2 linked regions of the Rattus norvegicus genome follow. The protein of the gene in region 2 purifies or fractionates together with the protein of the main gene of each other region. This does not show direct contact. Links are inferred from orthologs where the notes say so. Each region holds a gene or a part of one and is shown on either strand. Other genes may lie near its edges.

Region 1 (6,294 bases), on a different chromosome or scaffold from region 2:
GCAGGGTTATCTGCTAACCCCAAAATAACACAATGTAGCAGGTCATGCAGAGCCCCGAGGGAGGGTCAGGACCTATAGACTTAGAAGCAGATACTGCTTATCTAGACAGTGCCAGGAGGAAGTAATATATTAAAGTCTCTAAACTAACCAAACTCAGTGTGGAGCTACAGTAAAGACCAGACTACAGCATGAAGTAGCTCTGTAGGCTTTAATAAGCAGTTATCTCTAGTCCACTACAGACAGAGTTCTAAAAAATTCAACTACAGTATTAACTACTGTGAAGAAATGCCATGACTGCAAATATGACAGCCGTTCTGGTAAGGGACTGCATGTGATCAGAAAATACGTGACATTAACGAAAGTAATTTAAAAAAACCCAGCCAAAATCAAATCATCAATTCCAGACAAAGATACAAAATAAAGGGTATATCATCCCCTTTTGGGAAGGTCAGGATGGGAAACAAAATCTAAACAAACGCCAAGCCTAAATTTAGTAATCATGATGACACATCTATCTTGCACAACACAGGAAATACCAAGAGAGAAAATGTCACTTTAAAGTCACACACCAAGAACTGTCACTGGTTTCTCAGCAAGGAGCTCCTTATTTTGCACAGCAATGGCAGGTACTCCAGACAGTTCAAACATGCAGATTAAGAACCACAAAGTCACCCTAAGATATACTCCTTCCTATACCTTCTTGCCTTTATGGGGCCAGTATATCATCCACAAGAGTAACTGCCTCGGTGTTTTCCTAGTCTCTTCTTGGCAAGCAGCACCTGTACAACTTCTGTTTCCCTATGACTTTCAATGAAAAGAATCTGACTTCTCCCCTAAAAACTACTTGGCACGACAGAAGCTTCATTAATTAAAACAAGAGACAAATTATTTTCATAGCACCATCTTATCCATAGTCAAAAAAAAAAAAAACCTACACATACACACGTGTATACACACACACACACACACACACACACACACACACACACTCATGCAATGAACCAAAAAAATAAAAACAAAAAAAAAAAACAAACCAGCAATGATCTGTGGCTAGGTAGCATTTTCAGTTAGACAGCTTGGCTTACAATTTTTACCTAGTCAGCATTTCTTCAAAGATTTCCTTCATCAAAAATATTTACGTCTAATGTCTGGAACAATCAAGCCCCTAAGAGGACTCCTGACCGACCATTTTCAAGGACTTTAAGCATCTGTCTAGAACCAAAAGCCACCCACTAAGACACGATCTAAACACTGTCTGTTAGCGGCCTTGCTCACTCGTTACACCATGCTGTTGAATTCCAACCGTCTCTCAAGTCAGACAGGCTGCAAACTGCAAGTGTGCAGTTGTTTCCCATTAGATAAACAGATAAAAAGCAAATCTTACATTCATAATGTAACAAACACAAAGTCTTCAGATTCCCAAATCACAATTTCATTGTCTTTAGTATCATTAACTCCCTGGCTTCTCCCAATCCTATTATCACACATGGTCTGGTTTTTCCAGAGAGGACAAGCAAGCATACCTTTCTTCCCTTCAGAGACCTGAGCTTTCACAAAGCCCAACCTGGATTCTGTAGGGAATTGGCCAGCCCTGCTTTTAGGCTTCTTCCTCAAGCCCACTTCCATTCCGCATTGAAAACTCAAAATGGAGTAAAAGGGAAGTTTCCATAATGGTGCTAGAGAGTTAGGGCATTGGCTACACCTGCCCAAACTAGAAGCTAGAGGGCTACTACTCAATTACAAGATAACCATGTGGCGAAGGGAGGGGAGGACTCACACTGTCATTACAGGCCTCTTTATAGCTTCAAGGCCAACTATGCTCTCTAATAGAATGTTGAGATGTGAAAATGGCTAAGAGTGGGAGGAAAAAGGTAACATGATTTTAAACGCACACACGCACGCACGCACACACGCACGCACGCACACACTTTAAAGATCTCAATACTTCAAGTGGCCTGAGCCTATTTCACTCTTGGCCAAAGCCTACCCTCCCGCCCAACCTGCACACATTCCCACCCTCCGACCCCCAGTCATTGCTATGTTCCTCATACACACAGCAAAATCCCTTTCCCCTTCCCAATTATATATAAAAAAAACTAAACAGATAACTTACTTTCTTTAAATTATTTTTTAAAAGTCTCTTAAAGATTTGACGTTTAAATACTTCCTCTCTTCTGATATGTTAAACCCCAAAAGAATCCACACTGCTGGACACGCCCTCCACATTCCAGTTCTGGCGAGAAGAGGGAAGAGAACTACTCCAATCAACCTAGTTAGGATGAGGAGAGGCCATAGCGCGTTCTTAGTCCTCCTTCACAGCTTCCACACAACCCTACCTCTCTAACACCGGTACCAACTACAGGTGTAGGAGGCAGCAGATGTAATAACTGAGGCCCTCCAGCACCCCCCACCTGTCTCAAATAGCAATCTATTCCTTAGGTGACATATTTCATAAGGGATGTAATTTTCGTAGTCTAGTATCAGTAGTCAAAACAAAAAAGAAAAAAACAAAACAAAAAAGTGTTTTTTGTTTTTGAAGTTTTTGCCTTTTTTTTCACTTAGGAAGAGGTGGAAGAGGTGGAGGGGGCTCTGACGGGAGGGGTGGTGGCCGAGGTTTGTCTGTGTTGCCAGATCTGGAGATGCCAGCAGCTCTCGGATTCATATATTCACCATAAGAATGGACAAATTCAAATGCAGGGGGCTGAGTGGGCTGAACACCTTGGGCACTAAGCAGGGAGTGGAGCATATTCACAGTATCTTGATAATCTATTGACTGAGTTGTGTTGTGACCGTTAGCCCCAGGAGGGCCTTTATCCAGTTTCACATGAGGAACTCTGGTTTTACAGCTAGGCTGTGAAAAGGGCAGGCCACTTGTGTCTGAGCTATGCCCAGGCAACTGGGTCATTGTAGGAAGAGGCGGGAAGGGGAAATTCAAGGAAGATGATTTAGTACTCTTGGCAATCTTGGCTGGATGATCAAATACTGCTGCCCCAGTCTCTTCTGGGGGCCCCCTTTTACGAGTAGAGCTTGAAGAAGACAAAGTACTAGACAAGCTATAGGTTTTGTGTGCTAAGGTGCTTGTCTGGCTGCTGTGTTTTGGATCACTTGGTCGTTTGCTCACAGGGCCAACTGGCAGCTGTAAGTGAGAGTGCTTGTGTGAGTGGTGGTTGTGGTGGTGGTGGTGGTTAGACGGGTGAGTCCTCTGCTTCTCTTTGTGCTCTCGGCTCTTGGCAACACTGTCTTCTACAGAGTTGTGCTTGTCACCTGCAGAGTGCACTTTAATGCGCATTTTTATCTCCTCCGGTTTTGAAGAGGCCGCTTTATCTCCACCAGCCACTGGGAGTCTCATTTTCAGGGCTGATTTGTCAGCCTTATCCAGAAAAGGACGTTCAGGATTTTCTGAGCCCTCGATGGGCATTTTCAGAATAACTGAAGAATGGCTGTCATGAGATAGGAGATTCTGGGCAGCATATGCATACTGTGACTTCACATTGGCCTCCATGTTCTCCAGCTGCCTCTTCTGAGCAGCCAGCTCTTCAGCGTGCTTTGCACGGTATTCTTTAAGTGAAACTTTAGCTGATGGCACACTCTTGCTAGTCTGCTTCTGGGAAACAAATGCATTCGAACCATCATGTTGCAAGGAATGATCAACTCCAATAAGTGCTAAATTCTCACTAGTCCGATGACCCTGAGAAGCCTCTAGTTTAAAGGGAGGTTGAGAAGACAGCCACCGCTCGCCTTGCAACATGTCCACGCTAGTTAGACTGCTCGAGGACTCTTCAGAGGCAGGCAGGGAAGGCACTGCACCTGTAGACGCGGCTGACATGCTCATTAAGCCTGCGATAGTTGTGTCTGAAGAGGTCTGAGAAATCATATTGAGAATCGTCTGCTCCGATGTGTTTTCATCCGCTCCCCGGTCATCCGGTTTGGTTTTCATGGCAGCCTGGTATGCCTAGAATGAAGCAACAAGCATTTTACTAAGTTGCAATACACGGAAACAACACCTACAGAGAACTTGTTCATGGCTTTTTGTTCCTTTGTTGTACTGGAGGTGGGTTTTTGTTTGAGACCAGGCATATGAGATCCTCCTGCCTCTACCCCTGAGTACTTAAGAGGCACTCATTTACACCGAGAAAAGGAAGCCGATCTTAAACATTCAGTATAACTGCCTAGGGCTGCGGCCAGCCTTTAAATAAGTTCTAGAAAATTTGTGAGGCTTTGTATGAAAAGAAAAGATTTAAGAAACTCTAAGCTTCTAGAGGCAAAAATTATAATTCGCCAAACTTACAATTAGTCTGAACTAATAAAAAATAAAGGAAATTTCTATGCATGGTGGTGCGTGCTTGCAATCCCAGCACTTAACCCCAGGACTTAAACCAGAGGCAGAGGCAAGAGGATCAAGAGTCAAGGTCAGCCTCCTAACAGCAAGGCTCAAGGCCAGCCGGAGCTCCAAGAGACCTTATCTCAGAGGAGCTGGGCAAAGGAAGGATCTAGTCCGTCTCTGAGTGCAGGTGACTGAATGCAGGGCCTTGTGCATGTGAGTGCTTCCAAGTCCGTCTGACACTGGCGGGAAAGGGAGGGACTCTTTCTTATTCATAAGACTAAGACATCGGCATCACAGCTCCACTGCAACCCACTGAAGAAGAAAGCCCTGGGTAAAGACCCGGCTCAGCAGTTAAGAAAACTGCTGCTGCTGCTGCTGAGGAGTTCTGTTCCCAGCAGCTCTAGTGGCTCACAACCACTTAACTCCTGTTCCAGAGGATCTGACACCTCTGGCCTCCACAGGTACTGCATGCACACAAATGCAGGCAAACACTCATACACAAAAATAAAAATCAATCTTCCCCCACCCCCAGGTCTCAGTATATGTAGCCCCAGGTGGTCTCAGGCTCAGAAAGATCTTCTTGTCTCTGTCTCCCAAGTGCTGGCATTAAAGGTATGCAGCACCATGCCCAACTGTAATGATAAATCTTTTTAAGAAGGAAGGAAGGAGGGAGGGGAGGGATGGAGGAAGGAAAAGAGAAAAATAAAACATTTTTAAAGGTTTCACATTTTAATTAATTAACTAATTAATTATTTAAGTGTAGGAGTGTCTATCTGCATGCATACCTGTATGTCAGAGAGGTATCAGATCCCTTTATAGGTAATCATAAGTCACTATGCGGGTACTAGGAATCGAACCCAGGACCTCTACAAGAACAGCCAGTGTTCTAAACCACTGAGCCACCTCAGCAGCCCTAAAACATTTTTAAAGTAACTAATATCATAGAGAAAATTACACTTGACCTTATAATTCCATCCATTCCACCATTCCCCTACATTCTTTTATTCCCTAAAGAGTGAATCTTAGTTCACACCCATGCTATAAAGTCACAGCTACTGTTAAGTAAGAAGGAAACTCCAAAGCCAGTGCACACATGGATTCTGGCATACGCACTGCTGCAGTCAAAAGAAACACACAACATGTTTGTCAGCACTGTCTTACCCTCCAATTCCGAATACGTTTCAGCCTGCTTGGTGTTTTCTCTAGAATCTGTAGAAATTCATGTGTCAATTCTACAAATGAAACATTCAAGAAATGCTCAGAGACAAGAATGCAATAATAACAAGAATAACCTCAACTAACTCACTGTTTTCAGGTCATGTCTGGCCAGATATGTGACAAATCAAGACGTGCGTTTCAAGGTCCCTTACACTAAAACTTACCATCTAAAAGTTCCAAGGTCACAGTGGCGTCAACATACTCCCACCAGTGCTTCCCGTCAGTTGAGACTGGGATCTCCCAGTTGGACCACTTGCAAGCCAGATGGATGCAGACACAGGCCACCACAGGAGGTGTGTACTGCAGGCTAAATGTGGTCAAATGCAGGCTGACATCAAAGGGAAGGAAACAGAGAGTGTCATGAGCCCTCGAGTCTCAACCCTAAACTAAAACTCTCCATTATTTAAAAAAAAAAAACAAAAAAACCAAAAACAAAATCACAGGAGAGCGAGAAGGGCAAGAAGTATCCTGTGCTCTGACTCAGCATGCAACATGACTTCCTTCTCTCCTTTTTTTTACAGATTTTCTCTCAGTTATATGTACACTTCTGTGTTGGGGTATAAGCACAAGCGAGGGTGTCCAGGGAGGCCAGAGATGTTAATGTCCTATGGCTGGAGTTACAGGTGACGGTGTACCATCACAACAGGTCCTCTGGAAGAGCTAAACTCCTCAGCACCTCAATAGGATTTTCTATTGAAATACTGCTCAGGTTAACGACATTTCTAAATCTCCTAGGATCACACACTGATTAG
Region 2 (5,596 bases):
AGAGAAGATTTGTTTATTTTATGTATAAGAGTACACTGCGGCTGTCTTCAGACACAACAGGAGAGGGCACCGGACCCCATTACAGATGGTTGTAAGCCACCATGTGGTTGCTGGGAACTGAACTTAGGACCCCTGGAAGAGCAGTCAGTGCTCTTAATCACTGAGCCATTTCTCCAGTTCCTATTTTGGTTTTTTTGAGATAGGGTTTCTTTGTATATCCCTGGCTGTTCTGGAACTTGCTCTGCAGACAATGGCCTTGAACTTAAGAGATCTGCCTGCCTCTGTGTCTAGAGTACTAGGATAGAAAGTATGTGATACCACGTATCTGTCTACTTTAAAGGTGGGTACCATCATACCAGGCTTGTTTTCTTTCACTCTACCTCTTATATGATGTGATTCTTTGCTGTTTTGTTTTGTTCAAACAGGATTTCTCCCTGTAGCCTTGGCTGTTCTGGAACTCACAATGGAGATCAGGCTGACCTTAAGACACCTACCTAATTTTACAATTCTTTTGTGCCAATTACACCTTCTAAAACCTGAGTAGCTGGGACTGTAGGTGTAGACAGTCAGCAAAATGTTTCCTTAGCAGAAAAAAGTTATAGCTTAGTTTTAGGGGATCAGAAGTGCAAGGCTTTTCTCGGCTTGAGTGAGCTTGAGGTCAGTGTGTGATGCCAGGAACCCTGTCTCAATCACTCAATCCATTAATCAAATCTAATGTCATACCTGTTGATAGGAGGCCATAACAGGATTCAATTAAAACACTGTTTACAAATGGCAAGAATAAAAATTCTGGCTAGCCTAACACACTAATGATGTGTTTCCAAACAGGAATTCTGTCTTTAGCTGGGTAATATCCAGCAGTAATTCCAATAAAAGTCCATTTTGATTAAAAACAAAGTCAAACATCTAAAAAATGTGGGAGATGCCTCTGGGATAGGGCACTTCCTTCAAAGCCTGACAACAGGAGTTCCATCCTTGGGACCCACATGACAAGAGGAGAAGCTGCCCTTTAACTTCCATGCTGTGGCACAGGCACATCTACATGAAATGTAAAAATAATTAATTAAAAGTATTAAAGAATATTTAAACAGCTGAAGTGAAGAAATAAAAAAACCCTCACCCAGCACCGCAAAGCCTTGAGCCTTGGCTGATTCCTGGCTTCCAAGAAGTGAAAATTAAAGCACATCCCACCAAGACCTGGGGCAGAAAATCAAGTCATAGTTTCCTATGTTCGTAATCCTGAGTTCATTTACATTTGCCTGATTGCCATATGCAAACATCTGTGCAGAGAGTAAACACACTTTCTGTTGATCTGCTTGCGTTTTTTTGTTTGTTTGTTTTCTTTTTTTTTTTGTCCTTAACTCATGGAATCAATGAGCTGTCATATAAGGAAGGAATTATGTCATAATCACTGAAATTTTGTCATTGTTCTCTATGTACTTAATAATTCCCATTACTTTAGCCTAAAATGTTGCACTTCTGAATTTTTAAGTGGATCTGACAGCGGCCTGGTTTAATCTTCTGTGCCACACTGGCACTGCTTAGAAGCAAGCTAAGGGAGAACAGGAATGCGTTATCCACGCCTACTGCTCTGTTTGCAGGAGCACAGAGAGCATCAGCTGTGGCAGGTAGTCCAGAGGTAGAGGAAGCACTCCTTAACACCCTCAGGGAGCTGAGTTCAATCTCCAGCACCAGAAAACAAGTGAGATTAGCAAATGGTTAGCTGTGGTTCCCTTTCTTCTAGCTGGGTGGCAGCTCCATTGAATTTCAAACTGTGAAGGCAGCTAGCTTCAGTTGTTCCTATCTAGATCACGCCAACATCCCTGATAATGAAGCATGTTAACTCATAAAGAGTAACTGCTTTGTTGTTATCCCAGTTTAACTTTACAAAATGCTAGGTAAAGCACTTCTTTGCTTGAGACTAAAGTGATTAATAAAGAATTTAAAAATTAAAAATAGGGCTGGAGAAATGGTTAAGAGCACTGACTGTTCTTCCAGAGGTCCTGAGTTCAACTCCTTGCAACCACATGGTGGCTCATTTGTAATGGGATCTGATGCCCTCTTCTGGACACACCAGAACAGTGACAGTGTACACATATACATAAAATAAAAAGGTTTTAAGATTAAAAATAAAATGTTTTAATGACTAGTTCAAAAAAATATAGCCAATTCAAACAAACCCTCACACTAATTAGCAGAATAAATATTACCTATCTGTTCTGGATTACTACATTGCCATCTGAACTAGTTTTGAAATTCACACCTTCAAGAAGAAAGAGCCTCAAGGAAGGAGGCCTCCCTGTCTCCACTCAAGAAAAAAACTTGACAAAACCTAACAGTGGCAAGTGTCCTGTCAATCATCATCAATGCCAAAGGAGGAAAATGAAAAAACACACCAAGCCAATATGCATAGGAAATCTGCACCATGGCTTTCAAAGTTCTTAACAGTCTATTCTAAGCCCTTCTACTACAACAATATTTAAAAGAACAATCATCTGCTTTCATAGAATAAATGTCATTCTCAGTGAGCAACATATTACATTAATTATCATAGAAATAAAACTGTTGAATGAATCAGTTTGTTTTAATTATTTCAGTTTGCTGGTGCCACTTATCATAAAAAACGTGGCCATCAGAAACTTCACATGTGTCAAGCCTGTACAGAAGAAAATCTTTCTACAGGCACTTATCCGCAACCTACAAAGCCTAGCAGCTCTGAATCAGGACTGGGTCCACTTAAAATGCAATCACAGTTATGGATCCTTGTGAGAAAGCATCTTAACTCCATCTACTCCAAAAGCAGGAGAAATCTGCATTCTTTTTCAGTCTGAAGCAGTACTCTCTAAGAGGAAATACAAGTGAACTCATCCTCATTTATTACCATCAGAAGATGCATACGACTCCTTACCTTTTCTGTGCCTCTTTTCTTTTCCCGAGGTTGATTAAGTTTGGCTTGTCTATCTACCAAAATCTTCTGCCAGTACCTCTGCTCATGATCACCTTAAAAAGAAGCAAAAGCTCTGACCACCAGCTCGAGTGTTTGGGGGAAGAGGTTCATTAGCCCAGTGCAGAACAAGTAAAAGAATCCCCTACAATAATAAGTGTTCACCAGAAACACAATTGGGTTTTACCAGAAAGGATCTCGAGGTTCCAACTGTGCTTCTTTTTAATTTCAGTCTGTGCATTCATTACTGCCTGAGCATCCTCTGGGGTTTTGAATCGGGCATGGCATTCAGTATCTCCTTCTAGCAAATCAATGTAAACAACTTCTGAGATTGTGGCCAAAATATCCTATACAGGAAAGAAACATGAAAACTTAAAAATCACCTTAACAATGTCTGACAATAAACGAATGTAACCAGAGGTTACAAAATGCATTCTATCAAGCTACTCTCTAGTTGATGGGTAAATATATAAAATATTTCTAAAATATACAGAACTACTCTTCAAATACATTTACACATAAATGAGAAGCAATTTAACAACGTATGGCAAATTACTGTAGCTCATCCTCTTGAATGTGACTTTAAAATATGAACTGACAAGGGGATCAGCTGAGGGAACTCTTGTACAGTTGAACAGAAATGGCCCATCGCTCAGCAAGCTGGAAGGAGGTTAGTACGAAGAAGAGGAAAATACAAGGAGGAGAGGCTTGGAGAAGCTGAGTCGCACTCACCTACACAACACCACGTGTGAATGAACACAGAGAACCAGCTCTCAACATTGTACAATAACGGACAGAAACTGAAGGCTCTTGGGGAGGTTTACTGGAACACAGCCCAACAGCTCTCAGTTTTAGATAAAATACCTTAGTAACCTTTTCTAAGCAAGCTGAGGTCACCCAGCAAGGAAGAGTTTTACCTATAACACCTGCTGTGAGCTCTAATTAAGGAGATTCCTGCATTCTTAATCAAGTTTTTTTCCTCACACCAGGTTCTCCACAGAACACACTGCATTTATGCAGGAATGTTACAGTAATCTTATTGTTAAATGTCACTCATTAAAACTAAAGAAATAAAGAAACTGTTTAGTATAGAATAGAATTTTCTAGGCACAATAACTCAAATTCTTTTAAAATGTTTTAGAAAAAAAATTGAGACTTTAGCTATTGTAGGATAAAAGAGTGTATCCTTTAACTGTGACGGACAAGAGAACTGCAGGCCTAGAAGACAGAAGCTCACCCTTAACACATGCTCTGTAAGACAGGAACTTCCATACTGAAAAATGTTTCCTTCATCAATCAAGGAAAAAAAAAAAGAGAGAGAGAGAGAGAGAGAATGAGACCTGAGAGCCTTCCAATGTTGTTACCCAGTTAATCATTACTACGTAAGACACAGCAAGAGACCAGTCTGCACTGAGTTGATGAAACTGTAATGGGTTTCCTATTCGTGGTGAGAGTTTTATAATCAGTTTTTCAGATAGTTTAGAGTACCACAGTTCAAAAGGCATTTACAATTTATCCATTATAAAGTCAGGCTAATATCCTAATTAAAAACCCATATAATGACAAATTAATCTGGTAATCAGTGACAGCAACAGAGCTCAGTTTTTGTTTCAGAACAACTAAGTAATTACAACAGGACTTTCAACTGTTGCATTACCAAATTCTCCTTTGTGTGCTTGGGACTGAGTCCAGGCCTCCATGCTTGCACAGCATTTGCTTACTGTCAGGTTATTAAGCTACATTCTGTATTGTTACCATGTTTTCAGATGTAAGCTAATAGAACCTGGGGTTGGCAAATACAGCTTGGTCTACAGAGTGAGTGCAAGGACAGCCAGGAATACAGAGAAAGCCTGTCTTGAAAAATCCTGCCAACCAACAAACAAAACATGCCATCAAATATCTTTATCGATGAAAAGCTCTTCAAGGCTTAACACTGAATACATATCTCAACAACTCCAAGGTCAAATCACTATCATTTTCCACGGAAGTACAGTCACCAACCATTAGGGAAACAAGAAAGGCAGGCGTTCAGGCTTCTATCCTGAGGAATTTTGGTATTCAGAGTAAAGCTAAGAGTTGTCAGAGTTACCCTGGACTCTCTTAGCAGTTTACAGAGAGGTACAAATTCTGACTAGAGTTGTTTTGTTTCCATACTATTTTGAAAACATGTCACATGGGGTTCATAAGTATTACCTTGACTTGTTTCCTGCCTGGGAGAGGGTCTTCGCTCAGGATCTTCACGATCACTCCAGTCACGAACTGCGGGCCCTGTGCACTGACCTTCTCCTGGGTGGAGCACTGCTGACCACTGCCTGCTGCTGTGAGAGGAAAGAGGCACAGGTAACTTCCTCACCCCTCACATTTCACATGAGAAGCACCATCCTCCAACAGCAGAGACTTCTCAGGCTAACTTAAGGAACTGAGAACTCGTGCAACTGGAAATTAGTATTAAGGAATCACATTGCTCATTGGAATCAATATGGAATAAAACGCATTATACATCTAAACCAAAGACTAAAAGTTGAATAGATATATGCCAATATAAACATAAGAATAATCAAAGCACACTACTCAAATGCGAGAATTTGTATTTGTATAATTTATAAGAACTTAACATCTTTACCAATACTACAGCAAGTGAGAATATGCTTT

What was found. Proteins that work in one complex are often made in the same cells at the same time.
Region 1: the proteins of Larp7 (region 2) and Ccnt1 purify together in Homo sapiens (affinity purification with mass spectrometry; 10 studies listed by BioGRID and IntAct, with this or other methods). This does not show direct contact. The link is inferred for Rattus norvegicus from reciprocal best matches to the Homo sapiens genes LARP7 and CCNT1.

What each region holds. Positions count from the first base shown.
Region 1 is NC_086025.1:131,568,121-131,574,414, forward strand, and holds part of Ccnt1 (cyclin-T1), read right to left. Parts: intron 5,871-6,294; coding exon 5,707-5,870; intron 5,557-5,706; coding exon 5,486-5,556; intron 3,953-5,485; coding exon 2,555-3,952; 3' UTR 1-2,554. UniProt on the Homo sapiens protein: Regulatory subunit of the cyclin-dependent kinase pair (CDK9/cyclin-T1) complex, also called positive transcription elongation factor B (P-TEFb), which facilitates the transition from abortive to productive elongation by phosphorylating the CTD (C-terminal domain) of the large subunit of RNA polymerase II (RNA Pol II).
Region 2 is NC_086020.1:218,673,326-218,678,921, forward strand, and holds part of Larp7 (la-related protein 7), read right to left. Parts: intron 5,263-5,596; coding exon of another isoform or gene 5,260-5,262; coding exon 5,138-5,259; intron 3,292-5,137; coding exon 3,132-3,291; intron 3,001-3,131; coding exon 2,909-3,000; intron 1-2,908. UniProt on the Homo sapiens protein: RNA-binding protein that specifically binds distinct small nuclear RNA (snRNAs) and regulates their processing and function.